2 linked regions of the Alligator mississippiensis genome follow. The protein of the gene in region 1 purifies or fractionates together with the protein of each later gene. This does not show direct contact. Links are inferred from orthologs where the notes say so. Each region holds a gene or a part of one and is shown on either strand. Other genes may lie near its edges.

The links.
Region 2: the proteins of SUPT16H (region 1) and OTUD5 purify together in Homo sapiens (affinity purification with mass spectrometry; 3 studies listed by BioGRID, with this or other methods). This does not show direct contact. The link is inferred for Alligator mississippiensis from reciprocal best matches to the Homo sapiens genes SUPT16H and OTUD5.

What each region holds. Positions count from the first base shown.
Region 1 is NC_081830.1:3,856,512-3,867,805, reverse strand, and holds the start of SUPT16H (FACT complex subunit SPT16), read left to right. Parts: upstream 1-6,340; 5' UTR 6,341-6,423; coding exon 6,424-6,489; intron 6,490-6,571; coding exon 6,572-6,664; intron 6,665-6,794; coding exon 6,795-6,956; intron 6,957-7,539; coding exon 7,540-7,692; intron 7,693-7,795; coding exon 7,796-7,942; intron 7,943-8,042; coding exon 8,043-8,194; intron 8,195-8,498; coding exon 8,499-8,671; intron 8,672-8,794; coding exon 8,795-8,885; intron 8,886-9,124; coding exon 9,125-9,198; intron 9,199-9,694; coding exon 9,695-9,807; intron 9,808-9,899; coding exon 9,900-9,965; intron 9,966-10,317; coding exon 10,318-10,413; intron 10,414-10,577; coding exon 10,578-10,693; intron 10,694-10,974; coding exon 10,975-11,128; intron 11,129-11,264; coding exon 11,265-11,294. Other genes in the region: CHD8 (chromodomain-helicase-DNA-binding protein 8), read left to right, coding at 1-162, 278-486, 947-1,465, 2,398-2,424, 2,733-2,878, 3,076-3,312, 3,564-3,779, 3,955-4,134 and 2 more. UniProt on the Homo sapiens protein: Component of the FACT complex, a general chromatin factor that acts to reorganize nucleosomes. The FACT complex is involved in multiple processes that require DNA as a template such as mRNA elongation, DNA replication and DNA repair.
Region 2 is NC_081831.1:28,451,211-28,462,435, reverse strand, and holds the start of OTUD5 (OTU domain-containing protein 5), read left to right. Parts: upstream 1-6,299; 5' UTR 6,300-7,023; coding exon 7,024-7,650; intron 7,651-8,925; coding exon 8,926-9,019; intron 9,020-10,729; coding exon 10,730-10,794; intron 10,795-11,225. Other genes in the region: KCND1 (potassium voltage-gated channel subfamily D member 1), read left to right, coding at 1,009-1,092, 1,441-1,536, 2,078-2,292, 3,082-3,250. UniProt on the Homo sapiens protein: Deubiquitinating enzyme that functions as a negative regulator of the innate immune system. Has peptidase activity towards 'Lys-48'- and 'Lys-63'-linked polyubiquitin chains. Can also cleave 'Lys-11'-linked ubiquitin chains (in vitro).

The sequences.
Region 1 (11,294 bases):
GGCGCTCACCGCCCGCCTGCGGCGCCTGATCACCGCCTACCAGCGCAGCTACAAGCAGGAGCAGCTGAAGATGGAGGCGGCTGAGAGGGGTGATCGGCGGCGCCGGCGCTGCGAGGCTGCCTGCAAGCTCAAGGAGATGGTGCGCCGCGAGAAGCAGCAGCGGTGAGTCTGGGGCATGGGCATGGAGGGGAGCACCACTGGGGAGAACGGGGCCCACGCACCTGCCTGCCTGTGGGAATATGAGCCTCTGACTACCCCCACCCCCCTGCTTGAACAGGTGGACGCGGCGGGAGCAGTCGGACTTCTACCGGGTGGTGTCGAGCTTCGGCGTGGAGTACGACCCTGACACGCTGCGCTTCCACTGGGGCCGCTTCCGTGCCCTGGCCCGGCTGGACCGTAAGACAGACGAGAGCCTCACCAAGTACTACCACGGCTTCGTGGCCATGTGCCGCCAGGTCTGCCGCCTGCCACCCGCTGCTGGCGACGGTGAGTGTGTATGTGTTGGTGTTGCCTGCCTGGCCTGCTTCTGCTGCCCCAGCTGCCAGTGCTGGGCAGGTGGCCACGTTGGTCCCCTCACCTGAGTCCCTTGCAGGGGAAAGCCGCAGGGCTCATGGTGGTTGGCATGGGTCCCTCTTCTCCCTTGGAAGCATCTTTCCCAGGGGCCTGCCCAAGGGAGCAGGGGCATGTGGGGAGGGAACTAGTGACACCGTATTTTCTGGTAGGTACCCCAGAACATGGTCTTTATTAGAGGGGTTGGGGGGCACGGGGCAGGTCTGTGGGGCCCAAGGGCCAAGCTCTGATGGGGAGCAGATCTAGGGGGCACAATCATGGGGCGGGGGCAGGTCCATGGGGTTGCAGGGCTGTGCTCGTATTGGTGGGGGGGGGGGGGGGGTGCAGGGGCACCAAGTCTGTGGGGACCTACACTCACCACACGCCTGCCCCGCAGAGTCCCCAGACCCAACGCTGTTCATCGAACCAATCTCAGAGGAGCGGGCGTCGCGCACCCTGTACCGCGTGGACCTCCTGCGCCGGCTGCGGGAGCAGGTGCTGTGCCACCCGCTGCTGCAGGAGCGCTTGGCGCTGTGCCCACCCCCAGGCTTGGCCCTGCCCGCCTGGTGGGAGTGCGGCCGCCACGATGGCGAGCTGCTGCGGGGGGCTGCACGCCATGGCCTGGGCCAGGCCGACGCCGCCATCATGCAGGACCCAGACTTCTCCTTCCTGGCCGCCCGCCTCAGCTACCTGCATGGCCATGCTGGCACGCCGCAGCCCCCTGGGGTTGGCCTTGCCCCGCTGCCCCCCGCCCCAGAGCCACCGGCCACGCTGCCACCTGCCCCGCTCCCGCCCTCTGTGCCCCCCAAACCAGACTCGGCCGACGACTCGGATTCAGAGCTCGACCTGGGCAAGCTCTCGCCCTCCTCGTCCGGCTCCTCCTCATCCTGCTCCGACGACAGCGAGGATGAGCGGGGTGAGTGCCCCTATTCAGGCTGTGCTGGGGTTGGGGGGAGCCTTTCTTGCGCAGGGCAGAGTGGCGGTGTCTGGTGTTCCCCAGGCTTCTGGGCTTTGCTGGCTGCCCCGTGGAGAGTCCATCTCCCTCCCCTCATCCTGTTGTTACGGGTATCGGGTTTTTTGCCTTCCTCGGCAGCATTGGGTCTTGGCTGCAGCCTAAGGTGGGGACCATCACTGGGGTGTGAGGCTCGCACCCAGAGGGTGCTACCTAGAGGGTCTTGCTTCTCCACTCGGGGTCAGCTCAGTGCTGTATTGGGGTCAGGAAGGAGTCCGTCCGTGCGTGTGTGTGTGTCCCTGCTCAGATGGGCATGGACTGGGGCAGGTGGGAAATTTTACCTCTTTCTGTGGCAGGGAGCACGGCCTCTGCCTAGGGTCTCTCGAGCACGTGTTTAAGCTTTGCACGGGCAGGATGTGGGCAGTGCCCTTGGGCCCCCCGCTTTACCTGCAGCCAGGGTCTCCCCTGGGGGGAGGCGACCACCCTGGGCCCTGCACTTTGGGGGGGTCCTGCGGTTGGTGCCACTGCCGCCGAGTGCTGCTGGCTTCGACTGCTCCCCACAACCCCCCCCCGGGCCCTGCACAGGCTGATATGCCCTGGGTCCCACACACCTCTAGGGACAGCTCTGCCTGCAGCAGGTCCGGGCGTTCTGGGAGAAAGGGTTAGCTGTGCTAGTTTGAAGGCAGGCAGTGGGCCTAGAAGGCATTTGACAGGCACGTGCCCCAAGCTCTGCACTTCCCTCAAGTGTCCCTCTGCCCCCTTTCCCGGCCTGATTTGCTGCTCTGCTTTCCGCTTCCTTCCCCATCTGCTGCTCTTGTTCCTGCCCCTTCCCCCACCTGCTCCATGCGTGCACGTGGGCTGCCCGTGCCTCTTGTGCCCGGCCACCCCTGTTACAGACCAACTGAATCACAGATGCGTGAGGGGTAAGAACGGGCTGGGCTGGGGTGTCGGAGCTGCAAGGGTCCTTTTAGACATGCCCCCATGTCCTGCTGCCTTTTGGAGTAGCTCTGACAAGAGCAACACATCGCTGAGCAGGGGCTAGACTGGGGGTGCCCCCACCCTAACCCCAGCTTTAATAGCAATAGCTTATTGGGGGAGGGAGCTGCTGCTTTGCCCTCCTCTGTGTTCCCCCTAGGTTGCCCTTCTCTGTCCTGGGAGCTGCCTGGGGCTAAGGGTGGGGCTGCTGCCTCTGCTCACCCCTGCCCTGTCCCTGTCCCTGTCCCCATGCCAGGCACAGAGCCATCCTGTGGAGGGAAGCTGTACGAGGAGGAGGAGTCGCTGCTGTCCTTGCCCACCTCCCGCGAGGGTGACTCACCCCAGCCCAGTGCCCCAGAGCTGCTGCTGCAGGAGCGGAACCGCGCCCACGACTGGCCCAAGGTAAGGTCAGGGGTCCTGGCATGGCTGAACCCTTTCTCAGGTTGCATCCCCTTGGATGTCTGCCTGCAGCGGCAGGGAAGTTGCCGTGGGTCCACTGGTGACCCCCACTTACTCTAACTGGGGCCACATAAATCTGGTTTGTTGGTGGGGGCATATTTGCCATGTCTACATTAACCATCCCCATCTTCCCCCCCCAGGACCGGGCTCTCCTTAGCCGCATCGACTTGATCTGCCAGGCTGTGCTGACCGGGAAGTGGCCCTCTGGGCCACGTGGACCAGAGGTCTGCAGGGGACCAGGAGAGGGCATGGCCCGGCTGCCTGGGGACTACGGCCCTCCTGCCCCCCGTGTCGGCCCCCCTGACGAGGCACCCATGTCCTACACACGGCTGCGGCACAGCCCCGAGGAGAAGGAGTTCACAGTGCAGATCAAGGATGTTAGTAGGGGAGCAGGGGGTGCACACGTGTGTGGGGCAGGGGGTAGGGAGGTGCCCATGATGACTCGCCATGCTAATACCGACCCCCAGCTGGGCCCGCAGCTTGGCTCTGGCGTGGGGGGGTGAGTTCAACTCTTTTCGCGAAGAGCTGAGGCGCCCTGTGGCATGGGAGGAAGTTGGCGGGGGTAGGGGTCAAGCTTTGGCTTCTGTTCCCTATTGAACCTGCTCTGACTCCCACCCCTGGCCCGCAGGAGGAGGGGATCAAGCTGACCTTCCAGAAGCACAGGCTTGTCCCCAATGGCGCCATGCGTGAGCGGCATCAGCCCCCACCCCAGCCTCATGCCCATGCCCATGCCCATGCACACACCCACAGTCAGGGCCATGGCCACGGACATGGACATGGGCATGGGCAGGGGCCACCGCAGCATCTACAAGGCCACAAGAAGAGCAGCAAGAAGTTGGTGGAGGTGAGTGCAAAGGGTTGTTGCTGCTGGGAGAGTGCTCTGGGGGCAGGGACGTCTCTGCCAGGGGCTGTCCCTGTTGCCACTGGTCTGCAGCGCCCCGAGGGGCGGCAAGAGTTGGTCATTCGGTGTCTGTCCCTGTCTCCTGATGGAGACTCTTTCCCCTTGCCCTCGGCCCCAGCTGGAGCTACAGTGCCTGGAGAGTCTGCGGGGCCCTGACATCGACCTGGAGGCGCGGATCCCAGTGGTTCGCAAGACAGACGGGACGGTGCTGGTTGGGGAGGCAGCGCCACGCCGTGCTGACCTCGAGGCCTGGCTGCAGGCGCACCCTGACTTCGCCATTGACCCCCGCTTCCTGGCTGTGAGTGTCGCGCTTATTTGGCCTGTGTGGGGCACCCTGTCCCCCACTCCTCCAGACCCTCACTGTGCCCCCACTTTGCTTGTGCATGCGGCCCCATCTGTGTGCCTGGGGCGGGTGAGTGCTGCCTCTCGGGCTGTCCAAGCTGCTTAGATCTCAGACTTGGAAGGACCTGTGTTCTCCTGGGTGTGGATGGGGGCAGGAGGAGGCAGTTTTGCTCTACATGGGCAGCACCTGGCACTGTGGGCTCTGTGGGCAGCAGAACAGCAAGGCCACTGACCCGCCATCCTGCTCTCTGCCCCTAGTACATGGAGGACCGCCGCAAGCAGTACAAGTGGCACCGGTGCCGGAAGCCAGGCATGGCCGAAGCTAGCTGCCTTCCCGGGCTGGAGCGGGGGCTCATGCCCGACACCCCAGGCACCAAGAAGGTGAGAGGCCAACTGCACCCTACCCCTAAGCCCCCTCCTGCCCTCCCTACCTCTGTTTCAGCTGCAGTGGGGTGACTTGAAAGGGGCAGTTGTGGAGTAGGGAAGGGCTCCCTCCTTTTCACAGGTATGGCCAGGCCTTGCTGGCATCGTGGTTGTTGCAGCTCGGGACAGGGATGGGGGTCCCCTAGGAACTCAGGGGAGGCTGGGGCAGGAAGGTCCTAGCACTAACCATCATCCTCCCTCCCTCCTTTCTTGCAGGGCTACATGCCCGACTCCATGTTGCACCGCCTCCTGCCAGGCCCCATGGCTGCAGCGGGGGGTCAGAAAGCACGGGGCCGCCGGGCAGGCGTGGACCTCTCCAAGATGGTTTCGCTGATGGGGGGTGCAGCACAGGGCCAACTGGGGGCTATGGGGCCCCTGGCCCTGCACAGCCACTTCCAGCCTGGCCCTGCCCCAGGCACCGCGCTGCCCTACGCGCCCTTCCCCGCACCCGCAGCCTCCTCCTCCGCCACCCTACTGCACCCTGGGCTGGGCCACGGTAGCTATGCTCCCGGCCCCCCGCTGCACCTGGGGCACCCGGGCCACCTGCAGCCAGATGAGGACGACGACGAGGACGAAGACGAGATGGACGACTTGTCTCAGGGCTACGCCAGCTCCGAGCGGGACTTCTCCCTGCTGGACGACCCCATGATGCCGGCCAACTCGGACTCCAGCGACGGGGCCAACGAGGAGGGTGACTGAGCGGAGGACCAAGGGCCGGATGGACGGACAGACAGGATAGCGGGACTCCTGGGCTGCCCAGGCCCTGATGGGCGCTGCGGCCGGCTCCACGTGCACGGTGCTGCAGCCCCCGCGGGCGGCCCCGGGTGCAGGCAAAGGAGGGCCCGAGCTGCACGTGCCCCTCCAGCCCTGGCCGTGCCTGCCCCGCCTGCCCCCAGCATGAGCAGCGGCCGCCGGCACCCCCCTCTCCCCATCTCCACCGCCCCCTGCTGCTGCCCCCGCCCGCCCGCCGCCGCCGCCTTCTCGCCCTCTGTCTCTGTTCCTCTGTGCGTGGGCCAAGGGGCTCGCCCCGCGCCCGCTCCCCCCGGGGCCCTCAGCCCACCCCCAGCGGCGCGGGGCCCGGTGCTGTCCTTTCCCCCCCTCCCGGGCTCTATTTATATAAATATGTAATATGTCTTGTGTGATACGGCGGGGGCGGGGGGCCGGGGCGGGGGGGCTGGGCCGCATTAGAGCTTCCCGTAGTTGGATTCTTTTCTTTTCTAATAAAATGAGTTAAAATGCAGCTGGCAGTATTGCCCCATCCCCTGCCGTGAGCCACTCTGTCCTGGGGGGGCACTTGCCCCAACCCCCTTGCCCTGCTCCTGGGGGCATGGAGCCACTGCAGTGGAGCAAAGGTCATGCATCCCCAATGGGGTCACCCTCTTTCCCCCCCCCCTCCTATGGGTTTTCTTTTTTTTTTATGCGTGGCGCATGCGTAGAAGCAGCTAGTGCCACGAACTGCGCGGAGGAGGGGGAGGCTGGAAGGGGACGCGTCACGTGGTGAGGAGGGGCTAAACGCGCATGCGTAGGCAGCTCGGCGCGCTCGCCGCGTCACGTGGGGTAGGGGCCCGGTCCGGCGCGTGCGCCCTGAGGCGACGAGTGCGAAAACCCCGCGAAAACCTTGGCGCGCGCAGAGGGAGGGGCGGGGCTGCCTGAACGCACCCGCTCCTTCACGCGCGCGCGCACGCCGGGGGGGTGGGGTCATGGCCCCGGAAGCGGAAGCGCGTCCCGGGCCGCGCGTTTTCCCCCCGCAGGGTAGGGGGGCAGGACGGAATCGCTTCCGGGCTAGGGGCCGCGGCGGAGCCTGGAGCGCGGAGCCGCCTCCATGGCGCTGAGCCTGGACCGCGAGGCCTACTACCGCCGCGTGCGCCGCCTCTACGCGCAGTGGCAGGTGCGGGCCGGGCGGCGGGAGCGGGCGGGGGGGGCAGCGGCAAGGGGCAGCGGCAGCACTGACCCTCCCCCCCGTGTTGCAGAAGGGCGAGGAGGAGTACGGCGACGTAGACGGCATCGTGGTGTCCGTGGGGGTGGACGAGGAGATTGTCTACGCCAAGTCCACGGCCCTGCAGGTCAGCCCGGGCGGGGGGAGGGGAGAGGAAGGGGAAGGGGGGGCCGCCGGGGCGGGTGGGCGGGCGAGCTGGGCCCTGACCCCGCCGTGTGTGTCCCCCATCCCCTCCCCCACCCGCCCCCCCCCCCCAGACATGGCTGTTCGGCTACGAGCTGACCGACACCATCATGGTGTTCTGCGAGGACAAGATCCTGTTCATGGCCAGCAAGAAGAAGGTGGAGTTCCTCAAGCAGCTGGCCAACAGCAAGGGCGGCGACAGCATCCCCGCGCTCACGCTGCTCGTGCGCGAGAAGGTGGGTGTCGAGGCCGGGGGTGTCTCCGGGCAGGCTGTGCGCGTCCCCCTCCCCCCCCCCCGCGTGTGTGCGGTTCCCAACCGGTCGCTCCCTCGGTTTGCTGGTGCTCGAGGAGCCCCGCGGGCGCCGGGGAGCCGGTCCCCGTGCCTCTAGCCCAGGTGACAGGGGGGCGGTGCTGGGCCGGGGCTGGGGGCGGAGGGAAGGGCCCCGGTGCTGTCTCTGCAGCATAGGGACGGCCTGGGGAAGTTGTGATCCTGGACAGCGACGGCTGGAAGGGGTCTTGGGAGCTCGCGTCTAATTCACTCCCTTGCTCAAAAGAGCCCCTATTACGTCATCCTAGATGATGCTTTATGTAGCCTGTGGTACCAAGTCCGCGATCTTTTTAGGTAGCTCTGTTGTCGAGAGACTATTTTTCCAGATATCAGCAATTTTTTTTGGTACTTTTGTTCTGTCTTCTGGCATCGCTGATGAGTGATACGTCTCTTACGTGCTAGAGGGATAAGGATAGGGGTTGATCGTGGTACAAAACAGGGCATGTGGCCCAGTACCCAGGTGCTGATGTGCCCTTCCCCCCCCCTGGCAGAACGAGAGCAACAAGGGAAACTTTGAGAAGATGGTGGAGGCGCTGAAGGGCAGCAAGGGGGGGAAGCGTATCGGCATTTTCAGCAAAGACAAGTTCCCCGGCGAGTTCATGAAGAGCTGGAGCGACTGCCTCAGCAAGGAAGGCTTTGAGAAGGTCTGCGGGGCTGGGGTAGCTGAGCCACGTGGGAGATTGGGGTAGGGGGTTGGATACTGGTAACGGCCTGGTGACCGTCCCTGCCTTCCCCGCCCTGGTGCAGGTGGACATCAGTGCGGTCGTGGCCTACACCATTGCAGTGAAGGAGGATGGGGAGCTCAACCTAATGCGCAAGGCAGCTGCTATCACCTCTGAGGTGTTCAACAAGTTCTTCAAGGAGCGTGTCATGGAGATTGTGGATGCTGACGAGGTCGGTGGGGGACGGGGAGGGGGCCAGGTTGCACAGTTGCCCAGGCTTCAACTTGCCCCAGTAGCCACCCTGATTCTGTACACCTTACCCCATCCTGCAGAAAGTACGGCACAGCAAGTTGGCCGAGTCGGTGGAGAAAGCCATCGAAGAGAAAAAGTACTTATCAGGAGCTGATCCCTCCACGGTGGAGATGTGCTACCCTCCCATCATCCAGAGTGGTGGCAACTACAACCTGAAGTTTAGTGTGGTCAGGTTGGTGTCTTGTGCTCCCCCCCCAAAATTTGCACGATCATGCACACAGGTGCAGTTCTTTCCTACAAAAAGAGTCCAGTGTTCTTCTACCCAGAGCCCCCCAGTCATCTTTGGTTGAGGTAGGGGAGAGGCCTCCCCACTTACAACCCAGGTAGTGGGGTTTGTCTGGGTCTGTGCTACTCTTGCTGCCTCTTACCGAGTTCCAGCCCAGCTGCTTTTCTGTATGGTGCTTGCCAAAGACACCTTCTGACAGTTGCTCCCCACCCTGACGCATTCATTCTGTTTACCCTTGTTTTCCTGACAGCGATAAGAACCATATGCACTTTGGGGCCATTACCTGTGCCATGGGCATCCGCTATAAGTCGTATTGCTCCAACCTGGTTCGCACCCTCATGGTGGACCCCCCTCAGGACATGCAGGACAACTACACCTTCCTGTTGCAATTGCAGGATGAGATGCTTAAGGAGATGCAGCATGGTGAGCTTGGGGGGAGGGTACCCAGCATGGGGCTGGCTGGGCTGGGGGCTAGGGGTGTAGAGGTAGGAGCATCAGGGCTCTGCCCACCACCCATGTGGTGCTCACTCAGATTTGCCACCCTAGGTGTGAAACTATGTGACGTCTACGCGGCTATCATGGACGTGGTAAAGAAGCAGAAACCGGAGCTGCTGAGCAAGATCACTAAGAACCTGGGGTAAGAGATTGCTTCAGGCCCCCCGCCCCCCCCCCCAGTATCTGCCCACCTCTGGGTTTAGAGGCACCCACTCAGGCTTCAAGGCTGCTGGGGCAGGGAGCTGGCTCCTGCCACGGCGCTGGCAGCCACGCCTTCTAGCCTGGAGCACAGAGGGGGGGGTTGCCCTGGTGTTGGGGCTTTGGGACTGGGGTGAGTGGTGGCTATGGGTGACATGGCTGCTCCGCTCTCTCTCTGCCCAGGTTTGCCATGGGCATCGAGTTCCGCGAGGGCTCCCTTGTCATCAACAGCAAGAACCAGCATCGGCTTAAGAAGGGTAAGTAGTGCCCAGCTTTGCGGGAGGGGTGCCACTCAAGCCTGCAGGTTGCAGGCACCCAAGTCGGCCCCTTTGTGTCCAAATCTCTTCTTTCTGCTACTGCATGGGGATGTGCTGCTACTACTGGTTTCCAGCCTGCCTCACCCAAACCCTGTGAGGCCCTGGCCCCACTTGCATGCTCTCTGCCATGGGGTTCCTTGAACTTTGTCTTGCCACTAGCTCAGTATATAAGGAAGGAGCAGAGGCCCCCTTGACAGACCAGCCCCTACCTTGGGCGACTGGTGGCTCTGTCCATCTGCCCCTGTCCCTGCGCATCCCTTTTTTTCTCCTGTTGGGATCAGGGACAGCGCCTCCCACCCCCAGCCTTCACGCAAAAGTAGGGTGAGTCCTAGGCCCACGCAGCTCCAGGGCTGGTGCTGTCTGACTTGGTGGGGTCCTGTCTTACTTTCTGGTGGTCCCAGCCCCATCTAGTGACTCTGTCTCATGCGTCTCACAGGGATGGTTTTCAGCATCAACTTGGGTTTCTCGGACTTGACCAACAAAGAGGGGAAGAAGCCTGAGGAGCGGACGTACGCGCTGTTCATCGGAGACACCGTGCTGGTGGATGAGGTGTGAACATAGGATGGATAGAGAGAGCATGTGTTGAGGTAGAGGCTGCATCACTTTGTTGCACTGATCTTCCCTTTTCTGCTCTTTCTCAGGAGGGACCAGCCACTATCCTCACAGCTGTTAAAAAGAAGGTTAAAAATGTCGGCATCTTTTTAAAGGTGAGGCCAGGGTTGTTGAAGGGTTACAGGGTGTGGGGGAAGGTGGCAGGCAGGGAGCCAGGAGGGCTGGCCCTGGAAAAGGTTTGGGATCATGTCAGGGAGGACTTGGCCGCTGTGAGCAGGCCAGTTTCGGGGCAGCATGCCTGGAGTGTTGCAGAGAAATGAAATCTGAGGGTCGGGGTGGTGGGAAAGGAACAGAGCAGGGGCATGGAGAGCTGATCTGGCTAAGGTTGAGGCAAGGAGGCTGCTTGGCCCCAGGCTGCCACCATCACTTGCACTGCTTGGTGTCATTCCTCCCATGGGGGGCATTGGGGGAGGCCGGCGCTCTGAGCGGCATGTTTGTATCCTGCAGAACGAGGATGAGGACGAGGAAGAGGAGGAGAAGGACGAGGCCGAAGACTTACTGGGTCGCAGCTCACGGGCAGCGTTGCTAACAGAGAGGACGCGGGTGCAGTTCCAACCTTGGGGCCCTGGGGGTCGGGGGACAGGGGCTGGTAGTCATGCTTATTTTGGGGCTGGGGCTGGGGTGACCAGGCCAGGGCTATGTACTAGAGCTGGGGTGGCCTGGACATGGGGCAGGGCCTCACACTGCTTCTATTCTCCCACCCCCAGAATGAACTGACAGCAGAGGAGAAGCGCCGGGCCCACCAGCAGGAGCTGGCTGCGCAGCTGAACGAAGAGGCGCGGCGGCGGCTCACAGAGCAGAAGGGCGAGCAGCAGATTCAGAAGTGAGCAGCAGGGGGCAGTCATGATACTTGTGGCATATGATAACAATGCTTTCAGCACATGCAGTAAGGGGGAGGGGGTGGCTGAGTCGCTGGGTTCAGCTGCTTCTAAATTTCCAGGTCCTGGTTTCTTGTGTTTAAGAGTTTTAGAAGAGCTGGCCAAGGTTTGTACAAGGCCTGAAGTACTGCAGGGTTGGTTGGAGGAATGATTTTTTGGGGGGAGGGCCCCAAGAGCTCTGGGAGGTTCCAAGGGACTGTGTGACACCCGCACCCACCCTACACAGGGCTCGCAAGTCCAACGTCTCCTACAAGAACCCATCACTCATGCCTAAAGAGCCACACATCCGGGAGATGAAGATCTACATCGATAAGAAGTACGAGACGGTCATCATGCCCGTGTTCGGCATTGCCACGCCTTTCCACATTGCCACCATCAAGGTACAGCACCAGAGCAGGGCTCTACCATGACACCCCCTTCAAGGGTTCGAGCAGGGGGAGGGACCTGTGGGCACTAGGCTGGGGTAGCTATTCTCTTTTTGACCCACATAACATCCCTGTCTCTCCCATGGCACAGAACATCAGTATGTCAGTAGAGGGTGACTAC
Region 2 (11,225 bases), on another chromosome or scaffold:
GGGATGGAGTTGGGAAGGATGGGGCAGGGCTATAGCAGGAGGGGCAGAAAGGGGCTGTGGCAGGGGCGGGCAATTATTTGGGCTGGGGAGCCACTTTGGGAGGTTTGCTGAGCTATTGTGGGCTGGGTTAGCATCCCCTCTCCCCCAACCTGTAACAACTCACCAAGACTCCAGACTACTTGGGGAACCGGCCTGGATCCCCAGTGGGTAGGGAGCTACGTCTGGGATAGGGAGAGATGGGAGGGGCCTAAGTGGCCCTCGTCCAAGGCTGGGACCATGGCGTGATGGCAGCATGGGACCAGGGCCCTGGGCAGAGCTGTAACCTGCTCCCTGAATGCCCCTGCTTATGGAAGTGGTGTTAGTCGCAGGGATGTGCGTGCACCAGCCCCATCTGTTCTGCTCCTGGACTCTGGTCCCTACCTGCAGCTCCATTCCATGTGCCTGGCTGAATGTGCCCTGGCTGTGGGGGTTCTGGGCTGCTCTCCATGGAGATCCCACCTTCCCCCTCTATCTGGCACCGCTGGCAGTGGATGCAGAGTGGATAGGCTGGGATGTCCAGGCAGTGGGGCCAGGTCTGGTGGCAGCAGTGTCACTAGCAGCTGGAAGGAGCCACTGCTGGGAAGTAGAATCTGGCTGCCGTGCTGCCCTAGCTCTGTTGGGTGTCTTGGGGTAGTGGCACTGGCCACTCGTACCACAGCTCAGGTTGCCCACCAAAGGCTGGGCTGAACAGGGCTGAGGGATCTGCTGTGAGTCAGGTAAAACTTCTTGGCAGGCTGGATCTCGCCTGTGGGCAAAATGCTGCCTACCCCTGAGCTATGGGGAGGTGGTAGTGGGGCCAAGGGAAGGGGGCAGGACTATAGGGTGGGGGGGGCAGGGGCTGGTATTCAGAGAGAGCACAGAGCTATGGGGAAGAGGTGGAGTCAGGATTGGAGGGGGCAGGGCTTATGGGGGGTGCACAGAGGAAGGCTGGGGGCATGGCCTCTGCCCATCACCCCCCCTCCCCCACAGAAGGTGCGCCTGGCCCGGATCCGGCTGGCCAAGAGCGGGACGACCAAAGCCTTCCTGCAGTACAAGCATAGCAACGACCTCGAGGTGTGCATGGCTTTGCATGGTGCTGGGACCCTGTTATGCAGACTTTGCCCAGGGAATGGGACCTCTTGGATTGGGAACTGGGGCCCTGGCATGGGGAATGGGGATCCCTTGCACAGCCTCGCACGAGGGAAATGGGGCTCCTCACAGAGGCTTGCACATGACTGTGGGATCCCTTTGCACGGGGAACAGTTCTTTGCACAGCCTCACATAGGGAACGGGGCTCCTTGCACAAGCCTCACACAGGAAAACAGGATCCCTTGCACACCCCTTGCACCAGCACCCCAGTCCCTCCTCCCACTTCTACCTTATGGGGGGTATCCATCTGTCCGTCCTCTTCCCCACCCCCAGGAGCTGGACGGCCACCCCCAGGCCCCTGGGCTACGGACCTGTTCGGCTTTCGAGTTGCAGCACCATCACCTGCTTCACTGCCTGGAGAAAACCACGGTGAGCTAGGAAGTGGGCACTGGAAGGTTAAAAGTGGGGACTGGGAGTCTAGTGGTGGGGACTGGGAAGGTACTGGGAGGCCAGTGGGGATACTGTGATGGACTGGGAGGCTAGTGGGGGGCAATGTAAGCTTGCCATGGTGGGGGAGCTTTTGGGGGCAGGGTCTGTGGGGCTATGGCTCGTCCTGGAGGCCCTGCCTGCTCTGGCCTCCCCCACCCCTCACAACCTGGATGCTCAGTAGCAGCAGGTCCTAGGTAAGGTTGCCAACCCTCCCAGATTGGCTGGGAGTCTAGCAGAATCAGCATCAATTTCCTGGTGATTATTGACAGCAGTCTGGGAGATCTGATATTGCAAAGGGGTTGAACAGTACAATTAATGACATGACATCATGTTGGGGGGGGGAAAATCTCCTGGAATAGCTTTGGTCAGAGTTGGCAACCCTAGTCCTAGGTGGGAGTGAGGGTCAGTATGGTCAGGGCTTGCCCTAGAAATGATACCCCTCCTTTCCCTGCCCTGCCCCCTTCTTCTGACCCCACCCCAGAACCATGAGTTTGCAGCAGAGCGGGGGGTGTCGCCAGGGGCACGGTCAGGGAGGAGCCTGTCGCTGTCCTCGAGTGGGGCCCCATCTCCGGGTGGATCCTGTTGCCCCCGGCGACCACGCCACCGCCCCCTCCGCCTTGGTTCCACCCCATCAGGCAGCCGGGCCATTGCCCAGGAGCTCAGCACCCTGCAGGGCCTCAAGGGGCCAGCTCACAGGTACTGCATGTGCTTGGACTATTCACAGGGTGTGCTTGGCATATTCGCGGTGTGTTTGGTGTGTTCTTGGGGTATGCCATGGTATGGCTGGTGTGTTCCCAACATGTTTGTGGCATGGGCTTGGTGTGTTCTCTCAGTGCACCTGGCATTGGGGTTAGCATGTTTCTAGCATGCTCATGGCATGTTCCCAGCGTGTGGTTGGCATATTCATGGTGTGTTCATGGCATGTGTGCAGCATGCTTGCAGTGTGGGTTTGGCATGTTCCTGGCATGCTCATGGTGTACTTGCACCAGCAGGTGGCATATTTAGAGTATGGACTTGGTGTGGGCTTGGCATGTTTCCAGTGTGGGGCCTAGTTTTTTTCCCTGCATGTGCTTGATGACTTTCTGGTATGTGCTTGGGATGCTCAAGTGTTCCTGGTTCCAGGTGTGAGCACAGCCTATTTTCTTGCATGTGCTCTATGTATTTCGTGTGTTTGTACCATGTTCACAGCACATGCTTACCATGATCCCAAAATGTTTTTGGTGTGCAGTTGATGTGTGCATGGCACTGGCTCAACATGGGTCTGGCATGTTCTCAGTTTTGTGTCCTGTGTTCCGGGCACTTCTGTGGCATGTACTTCATGTATATACTGCATGGCTCAGGCGTGTTTGCAGCCTATGTCTATCAGTTTTGTGTTGGGAAACACTGGGTTCTGCTGCCATCCAGTGGGCAGCCATTGAAACTTTGGGGGAGGGTGGAGCTGGGAGCCCAGACGCTTGGGTTCATGCCCCCCACCCCTCCCTCTAGCCGGTCCAGCCTGAATGCGACACCAGCACCGGATACCCTGAAGCTGAGCTACGAGGCAGCAGCACTGGCAGCAGCCATCATCAGCATCCCCACACCCCCTGCCAACACCCCTGATGAGAGCCCCCCCCCGGCACCCCGGCCCCCTCCCCTGCACATCTCTTCCCTCTGAGGGGAGTCCCTGAACACCTGGGTTCTTTGCGTCAAGACACCTGGGTTCCATTGGCCTGGATTCCACCTATCCTGGACACCTGGGTTCTTCACATCCTGGATGCCCAGGCCCTACCCAACCCAACCCAGATGCCTGGGTTCCATCTATCCCAGCCGCCTGGGTTCTGCTGGTCCCGGATGCCTAGGTTCTGCCCGTCCCAGGTGTCTGTATTCTGCCCAGCCTGGACCCTGTTCTGCCTAGCCCAGATGTCTTGGTTCTTCATGTCCCAGATGCCTGGGTTCCGTCCGTCCCAGATGCCTGTATTCTACCCAGTCCAGATGCCTTAGTTCTGCCTTCCTGGATGCCACGGTCCTGTCTTCTCCAGACACCTGGGATCCTCCTGTCCTGGACACTTGAGTTCTTCCTGTTCCAGAAGCCAGAGTCCCTGGACACATGGGTTCGTCCTGCTTAGGGGCATGTCCTGTACCAAATGCCTGTGCTTGTATCCCAAATGCCTCAGTTCTTCGTGTCCTGGATACCTGGAATCCCACCTGCTTAGGAGCATAGCCTGTACCAAACACCTGTGTTCTTCTTGCCTCGGACACCTGGATCCCTCCAGCTTGGGGTGCCTGAGTTCTTCCTCTCCTGGATGCCTGGGTTCCTCCCAGCCAGGGAGCAGCTTTACCCAGACATCTGGGTTCTTCTTGTGTGGGGCAGGCAGGAGGTGTGTGCTGCAACCTTAACCCAGATGTCTGAGTTCCCATGGGTCTGGAAAGGAAAGGCAGGGGGAGGGGCATGGCCCTCTGCCTCACCTGCTACTCTTTAGACCAGCCCCCTTCACAAGCAAAGCCATATATCAGGGTCAGCTATGCAAGCCTGGGGAGGGAGGAACTATTTCCCAAGGCGCAAGGACATGGGCCACTCCTGGAACTCATTAACCAAAAGCCATGGGAGCCTGGGGGGAGAAGGGGCCTGGTGCCTGGGTTCTGTCACCAGCTATGGGAACCTGCAATGCCTGGATACTCTCCTTCAGGATACCTGGGTCCTTCTTCAGGCCCCCCCACACCTGCACACATCATGGTGCCCCCATCTACTATGCTCACAGCAGGACTGTGCATGTGTCCATGTTGCCACCAGGGGGGTGCTTCCTTCCCAGCATGCACTAGGGGGAGAACCCCACCCCCTACCCCCCATATCCACCTCACCTCACAGGTCATCCTTCTCCTAGGGGTCATGACTCCTCCAGAGACCAGAAGCTGAGCTCAGACCATAAACCGTGACCCCTCCCCCTACTAGTGCAACAGCAGGGGAGGGCAGAGGCCTGAATGCCTGGGTTCCCTTCCCCAGGTTTCCTGGGGCATGGGGGTCTAGGGGCCCAGATGCCTAGGTTCTAGCCTGGCTTAGGGAGGAGTTGGGGCAAGGGTGGGAGGGCTGAGGCCCCAGACACCTGTGTCAAGCCCAGACTGGCTGTGGTAGGGTAGGGGGCAGCACCAATGGAGGGGAGGGACTGGGACCCTGCCCCCTTCTCAAAATACTCTATAGCACAATGCAGCTGCCTCCGTGGCCACTGGGGGTGGGCAGAGATTCTGCCCCCACCTGCACCCCTGTCTGGAATCTGTCCTCAGGCTGGCTGGGAGCTGGAGGCCCAAGGGAGGGGCCTCCTGGAGCCAGAGAGGCCTGGACACCTGGGTCCTTTCTAGACTCGGAAGCCCGGGTTGTTTTTGTTTTTTTTTTTGAGTCAGAGGAACCTGGAGGCCTGGGCTCTCTGCCCACTCTGGAAGTGGGGCGGGGGCGCTACAAGCCTGGAGACCTGGGCTCTTTCCCTGCTCAGGAAGGGGAGTCCAACAGGAGGCGCCTCCCTCCTGTATGCTTGGGTCCTGTCGCCAGCTCTGACAATGTAAGTTCAACTCAGGTTCCCCTTCGGTTTTTTTTTCCTGTTAGACATTTAAAAAATAAGAAAATTCTATACATATAGAGACAGGTATTATATACAGATACATAAAAGCCTGGCTCAGGGAGGGGTGGGGCAACGGATCATTAACACCTCCATGCCTGGAGCTGGGGGTGGGGTCAGGATGGGGGGGTGCCTTCCCTGCCCGTTGCCAAGGAATGAGGCTTATGCTGCTGTAGTTTGAGCAAATAAATGAACTGGTGACATGTCACAGCTCAGTCATTATTTGCAGGGCAGGGGGTGGGACCTGGGACGCCTGGGTTCTCTGGCAGGGGAGTTGGAGCGGGTAAGAAGTGAAGAAAAGGGGCAGGGCCTGCTTCTAAGTGACAGCCGTCTGATCCAATCAGGGGGCCAATATGCTCCCCACCTCACCCCCGCGAATACAAACCCCACATCCCTGCGCGCTCGTCTTGAAGCCCGGGCATTGTGTGTCTGATTGGCAATTTGCTCCCATCCAGTCAGATGAGGACTTGCCCTCTGGTCCAATCAGAGCGCAGAATGTTCTTGTCCAACGAATCATAAACCGGTGTTCTGCCCCTCAGTTAATCGCGTCCAGGTTTCTTTCCCTAGCTAATCAGCTGCGAGCATCTTGTTTCCAACCCTCCCTCACATGCGAGGCGGAATTTCCCTTAAACCCATTCAAGCCAATCAGTGATTACGCTTGTTTCCCCCTGGCTAATCAGGGCCTAAGCGTCCCTCCAGCCAACCGGAGGTTAGTCCCCCTTTTTCCCAAGCCAATAAGATTTGGCTCTTCTGCCTCTCAGCCAATCACATGCATGTCCGGGGCCTTTTAGCTAATGAGCATAGGCGACCTTACGCCGTGACCAATCAGTGAGCGCATGTCAAGGAGGGTCACCCAAGTCCCGCCGACCCCGGTTGTTGTCATGGGAAGTGGGAGGGGGAACGAGAGGATAGGGGGAGGGACACGGCTCTGACTGTGGCGCTCTCCCCCCAATCCCAAACGCGTTCCTCCAAGCCCATCGACCAATGACAGCGGAGCTGTGGGCCGGTAGCCAATAAGCGGTGGCGCTGTTACCCAGGCGCGTCGGGGTCTCGTCCCTTTTGACGTTCCGTTGCTAAGGGGCGTAGGGGCGGAAGTGAACGCGCCGGGGTCAGAGGCCGGTTGTGTTGATGTTGACACTAGGCCGGGGCCGAGCGCAAAGGGCCCGCCGCGGAAGCCGGGAAGGGCCAAAAACCTTCCATAGACCCCAGGAACGGGGGAGGGTTGCGGGGAGGGGGCGTTGGTTGCTTGCTTGCTTGCTGCCTTCCTTATCGGTCTGCTTTAGGCTAATTGCCCTGCTGTCTTGCACCCCCCCCCGGGCCGCCGCGGGGGTTGGGGAATACGACGGAGACTGGGGTCTCGGGGAGCGCTTCCCCCCCTTATCCAGTTCTGCGCCCCTCCCCCTCCTTGGGGAGGGAGGCGTTCCTTAGCCCTTTCAGCCGGATCCCCCAGGGGGGTGCCCCCTTAGCCTCGTACATCCGGGTTCTGCTCCCCCCTTAGCCCCTGACATCAGGGGACCCCCCCCTTAGCCCCCTCCATCCGGGTCTCTCGGCCCCCGAGCTCTGAGTCCTTCCCTTCTCTAGTCACCCCCTGACATCCGGGGATCTCCCCTTAGCCCCTGACATCCGGGTCCTTCCGCTCCGCTCACCTCTGGCATCCGGGGATCCCCCCTTAGCCCCCTACATCCGGGTCTCCCCCCCATTAACCCCTTCTCCCGGCTCCCCTTAGCTTTTCCATCCGGGTCCTTGCCCCCCTGTAGCCCTTAGCCCCCTACATCCGGGTCCTCCCCCCCCTCCCCCACCCCACCCCCCTTCCCAGCCCAGCGGCGGCAGCGGGCGGGCCATGACGATCCTCCCCAAGAAGAAGCCGGGGGGCGACGCCGACCCTCCAGGCTCCCGCGTGGGGGGGGCAGGAGACCCCCGCGTTGGGGGGCCCCCCAGCCCGGACCCCCGCGTGGGGGCGGGAGGGGGAGCGGCAGGCAGCTCCGGGGTGGGGGGGGGCAGTGACCCCCGGCCGGGAGGGAGCCCGGACCCCCGCGTGGGCTCGGCAGGGGGCGGGGCCTCCCCTCCCCCCCCAGCCCCTCCCCCGCCCCGCTGCTGGGGGGCACCGTCCCCTCCCCCCACCACCGGCGCCCCCGAGGCCAAGGCCGGGTTGGGTCTGGATGACCCCCGGGCGGGCGGCGGAGGCGTGGGGGGCGGATGCTGCGCGGGGCCCGGCCACAGTAAGAGGCGGCGGCGGGGGGGCTTGGGCTTGGCTTACGGGCCCGGCGGCGCCTCCGGGGGGGGATCTGGGCCAGCAGGGCTGGGCCTGGGCCTGGGGCTAGGGTTAGGGCTAGGGCTGGGGGCCGGCGATGGGGATGAGGCAGGCGGCGGCTACAACAGTGAGGACGAGTACGACCCTCCCCGCGGCGGGGGGGGGGCCGGGGGCGGCCCCCCAGGGGACAGCGGGGATCCAGCTGCGGCTGAGCAGGTGGGTAGGGGGGTCTGTGGGGGTGTGGAGGGAGGTGAACCCCTGTGGGGAAGGGAGATGTGCGGGGGTCTGGGGAGGGGAGAGATGGGGGGGGTCTCTGGTGTGAGGGGGTTCGCCTGTATGATTTGGGGTGTGGGAGGAGAGAAATGGAGGTTGTGATGTGTGGAAAGGGGAGAGATTGGGGGGGCACCCACTTCCCCATATGATGAGTGGGGCTGTGATCTGTGGGAGGGGGGCATCAGGTGAGGGGAAAGATTGGGGGGGGGGGTCTCTGGAGTAAAGGGACCCCCTGTGTACTGTCAGGGAAGGGGGTCTGTGGTGGGGGAGGGGAGAGATTGGGTGATCTCTGGGGTAGGGAAGGCCCTATGTGATTTGGGGGAGGGCTGTGATGTGGGGGGAAAGGGGAGATATTTGGGGGGCTCGGGTGAGAACAGTCCCCTGCCCCCATGTGATTTGGGAGAAGCTGTGATCTGGGGGAGGGGGGTTTCCAGTGAAGGGAACACCCCATGTACAATATGGGGGAATGGAGGGTTCTTGGACTGGGGCAGGGAAGAGATTGAGGGAAACTCTGGGGGAGGGGACCCCATATTCCTCCATGTGATATTGCAGGGGCTGTGTTGGGGTGGGGGGTTGTCTCTGGGGGAAGGGGAGGCATGGGGGGGGTCTCTGGGTTGGCTGGGACCCCTGTGTGGTGTGGGGGAGGGGAGGAGAGGGTAGGGGGGCGGTCTCTGGGGTTAGGGGGCAACTCCAGTGTGAGAGGACCCTGCCCCTGTATGATCTTGGGGTGGGGGGAGAGGGGAGGAGTGGGGGCCCCTGTGTGACCTGGAGGAAAAAGGAGGGGTCTCTGGGGTGAAGTAGCCCCTGTGTGATCTGGGAGGAGCAGAGATGGAGGAGGGGCAGCTGAGGTATAGCTGCCCCCCATGCCTGGGTTCTGTGTGAATGTTGATGCTGGACACCTGGGTTCTGAGACTGGGGGTGCCTGGACACCAGGGTTTCATGCGTGTGCCAGGGTTAGGGAGGAGCCCCTGGGTTCAGTGTCTATGCAGGTGGGGGTGCTGGATGCTGGGTATCTGCATTGGTGTTGATGCTGGACAAAGGGAGGTGGGCCCCAGACTCTGGACTCCCTGTGTGCTTGAGTCTCTCACTGGGACCCTGGTGGGGTATATGGGGGTGTGAGCCACAGAAGGGAAGAGCTTGGCAGCCTTGTGGGGGTGGTGTCCAGGGGGCAGGTCTTGGGGCTTGGCCAGTTGCTGACTCCACCCTTCTTGCCTCCAGCAGGAGCACAGGTTTGAGAAGGCATTGAGAGAAAAGAAAGGCTTCATTATCAAGCAGATGAAGGAAGATGGGGCCTGTCTCTTCCGGGCTGTGGGTGAGTGGCTTCTACCCTGCATCTGCACCCCAGGCCCTTATCTGCTTCCCCCTGTCCGACCCCCTGGCAGAGTTGTGGGGCTAGAAACCAAGCAGTGTTATACTTAGCTATTTCTCAACTGCCCAACCCCAGAGCTGGGCACATATCACCTTCCTTGTGTCCTTTTATATGCAGCCATTTCTAAACTGCTTCACACCAGAATTGGGTGCATCTTGGCCCTCCCTCTATGGTGTTTGACCCCAGGGGTGGCTGCATCTTGCCCTCCTTGTGTCCTGCTCTACCCAGGAGTTAGGCACATCTGGGCTCTTCCTTCATAGTATTATACTCTGTTGTTCCCCAGCCTTACATGTTAAAGGTGGATGCATCTTGCCTTTTTTGTGCACTGTTCTGCTGTTCTGGTTATCCCTGACCTGCCCCACCCCAGAGCTGGGTGAATCTCAGCCTTCTCTCTCTTGCATTATACTCAGCCACTCTGCCCCAGAGCTAGGCACCCTCCCTCTGTGGTGTTACACTCTGTTGTTCTACCCGGAGTTAGGTGCATCTTTCCCTCTTTGTGCCATATTAGACTTGGCTGTTCCTAACCTGCCCTACCTCAGAACTGGACATATCTCAACCCTCCCCTTATAGTGTTATACTCAGCTGTTTCCCAGCTGGCCCACCTCATAACTGGCTGCATCTGGGCCTCCCCTTCACAGTGTTATACTCAGCCATTCCACCCTAGAGCTGGGTGCATCTCAGCCCTCCCTCTATGACATTACACTTTGCTGTTCCTTATCTGTTCCTCCCCAGAGCTAGATGCGTGTCATCCCTCTCTGTAGTGTTATACTCAGATGTTTTCCAGGTGCTATAACCTAGAGCTGGATGCATCTTAGCCCCCACTTCATACTGTTATACTTGACTGTTCCTCAGCCATTCCAGCCCAGAGCTGGGTCCATTTCAGCCTTCCCATTATAGCAGGGGTGGGCAATTATTTTGGGCAGAGGGCTGCTTACTGAGTTTTAGCAAGCCATCGAGGACCACATGACAGGCAGCCAGGGGTAGATAAATATTAATTTTCCAAATTTTTAAGGGCCCCGCGGGCCAGATAGAATGGCCTGTCAGGCTGCATTTTGCCCACCCCTGCATTATAGTGTTATACTCAGCTGTTCCCTAGTCAGAGCTCCCCAGAGCTGGGCGCATCTCTCCTTTCTTTTGCCCTGTTACATTCAGCTGTTCCTAACCTGCCCTGCCCCAGGGCTGGCTGAATCTCACCCTCCTTGTGCCCTGTTATGCTTGGCCATTCCTCACCTGCTTCACCCCAGAGCTGGGTGCATCTTGGACCTTCTCTGATTCAGCAGATCCCTTCCCCTTTGACTCAGCAGATTCCCTCACTCTGTGCTGGTGCATCAGCAAATTCCTCTCTGACTTAGCAGCAGGGAAGAGAGGAGTGTGCGCTCAGAGGCAGGCCAAGAGGACCCAGGTGTCTGGGTTCCTATGATCCAACCCACCAGCCACCATTCCCCTCCCAGAGAACCCAGGTGTCCAGGTTCCCAGCTGCCATCCACCAACCACCCTCTTACTTCCCTGCCCAGAGCAGGGAGAGGACCCAGGTATATGGGCTATCAGTCAGGCCCCATGTCAGCATTCTAGTGAGCAATGCCCTCCCTTGGAGGGATGCCTTTGGGCCCTATCTCATGATCCTTTGCTTCTTCTCCTTCCCCGCCACTTCAGCCGACCAGGTATATGGTGACCAGGACATGCATGAGGTGGTCCGGAAACACTGCATGGACTACTTGGTGAGTGGTGGTAGGGCCCAGACACCTGGGTTCTCTGAGGGATGGGGAGGACCTGGGGGTGAGAGCAAAGGGTGTGTGTAGCCAGGACTCCTGGGTTCTCTGGCGGGGCAGTAGGGCTGGGATGTGAGAGCAGGGGGGGGGTTGGGAGCCTGGACTCCTGAGTTCCATCCTGATGCTGGGGGTGGGGAATGGAGGCCTGTTGCATTAGAGCAGGGTGGATCTGGACACCTGGGTTTTTTTCCCAGCTCTAGGGAAGCCAGTTAGGATTATATAACCAGGGATGGGCAGCCCAGACACGTGGGTTCTCCAGCAGGGGAGTGGGGGCTGGGGGGTGAGAGCAGGGGGGCTGGCAGCCCAGATGCCTAGGTTCTCTCCCTCCCCTGGCAAGGGGAAAAACCCACCTGTGCCTCAAATTGGAGCCCAGCTTCCCC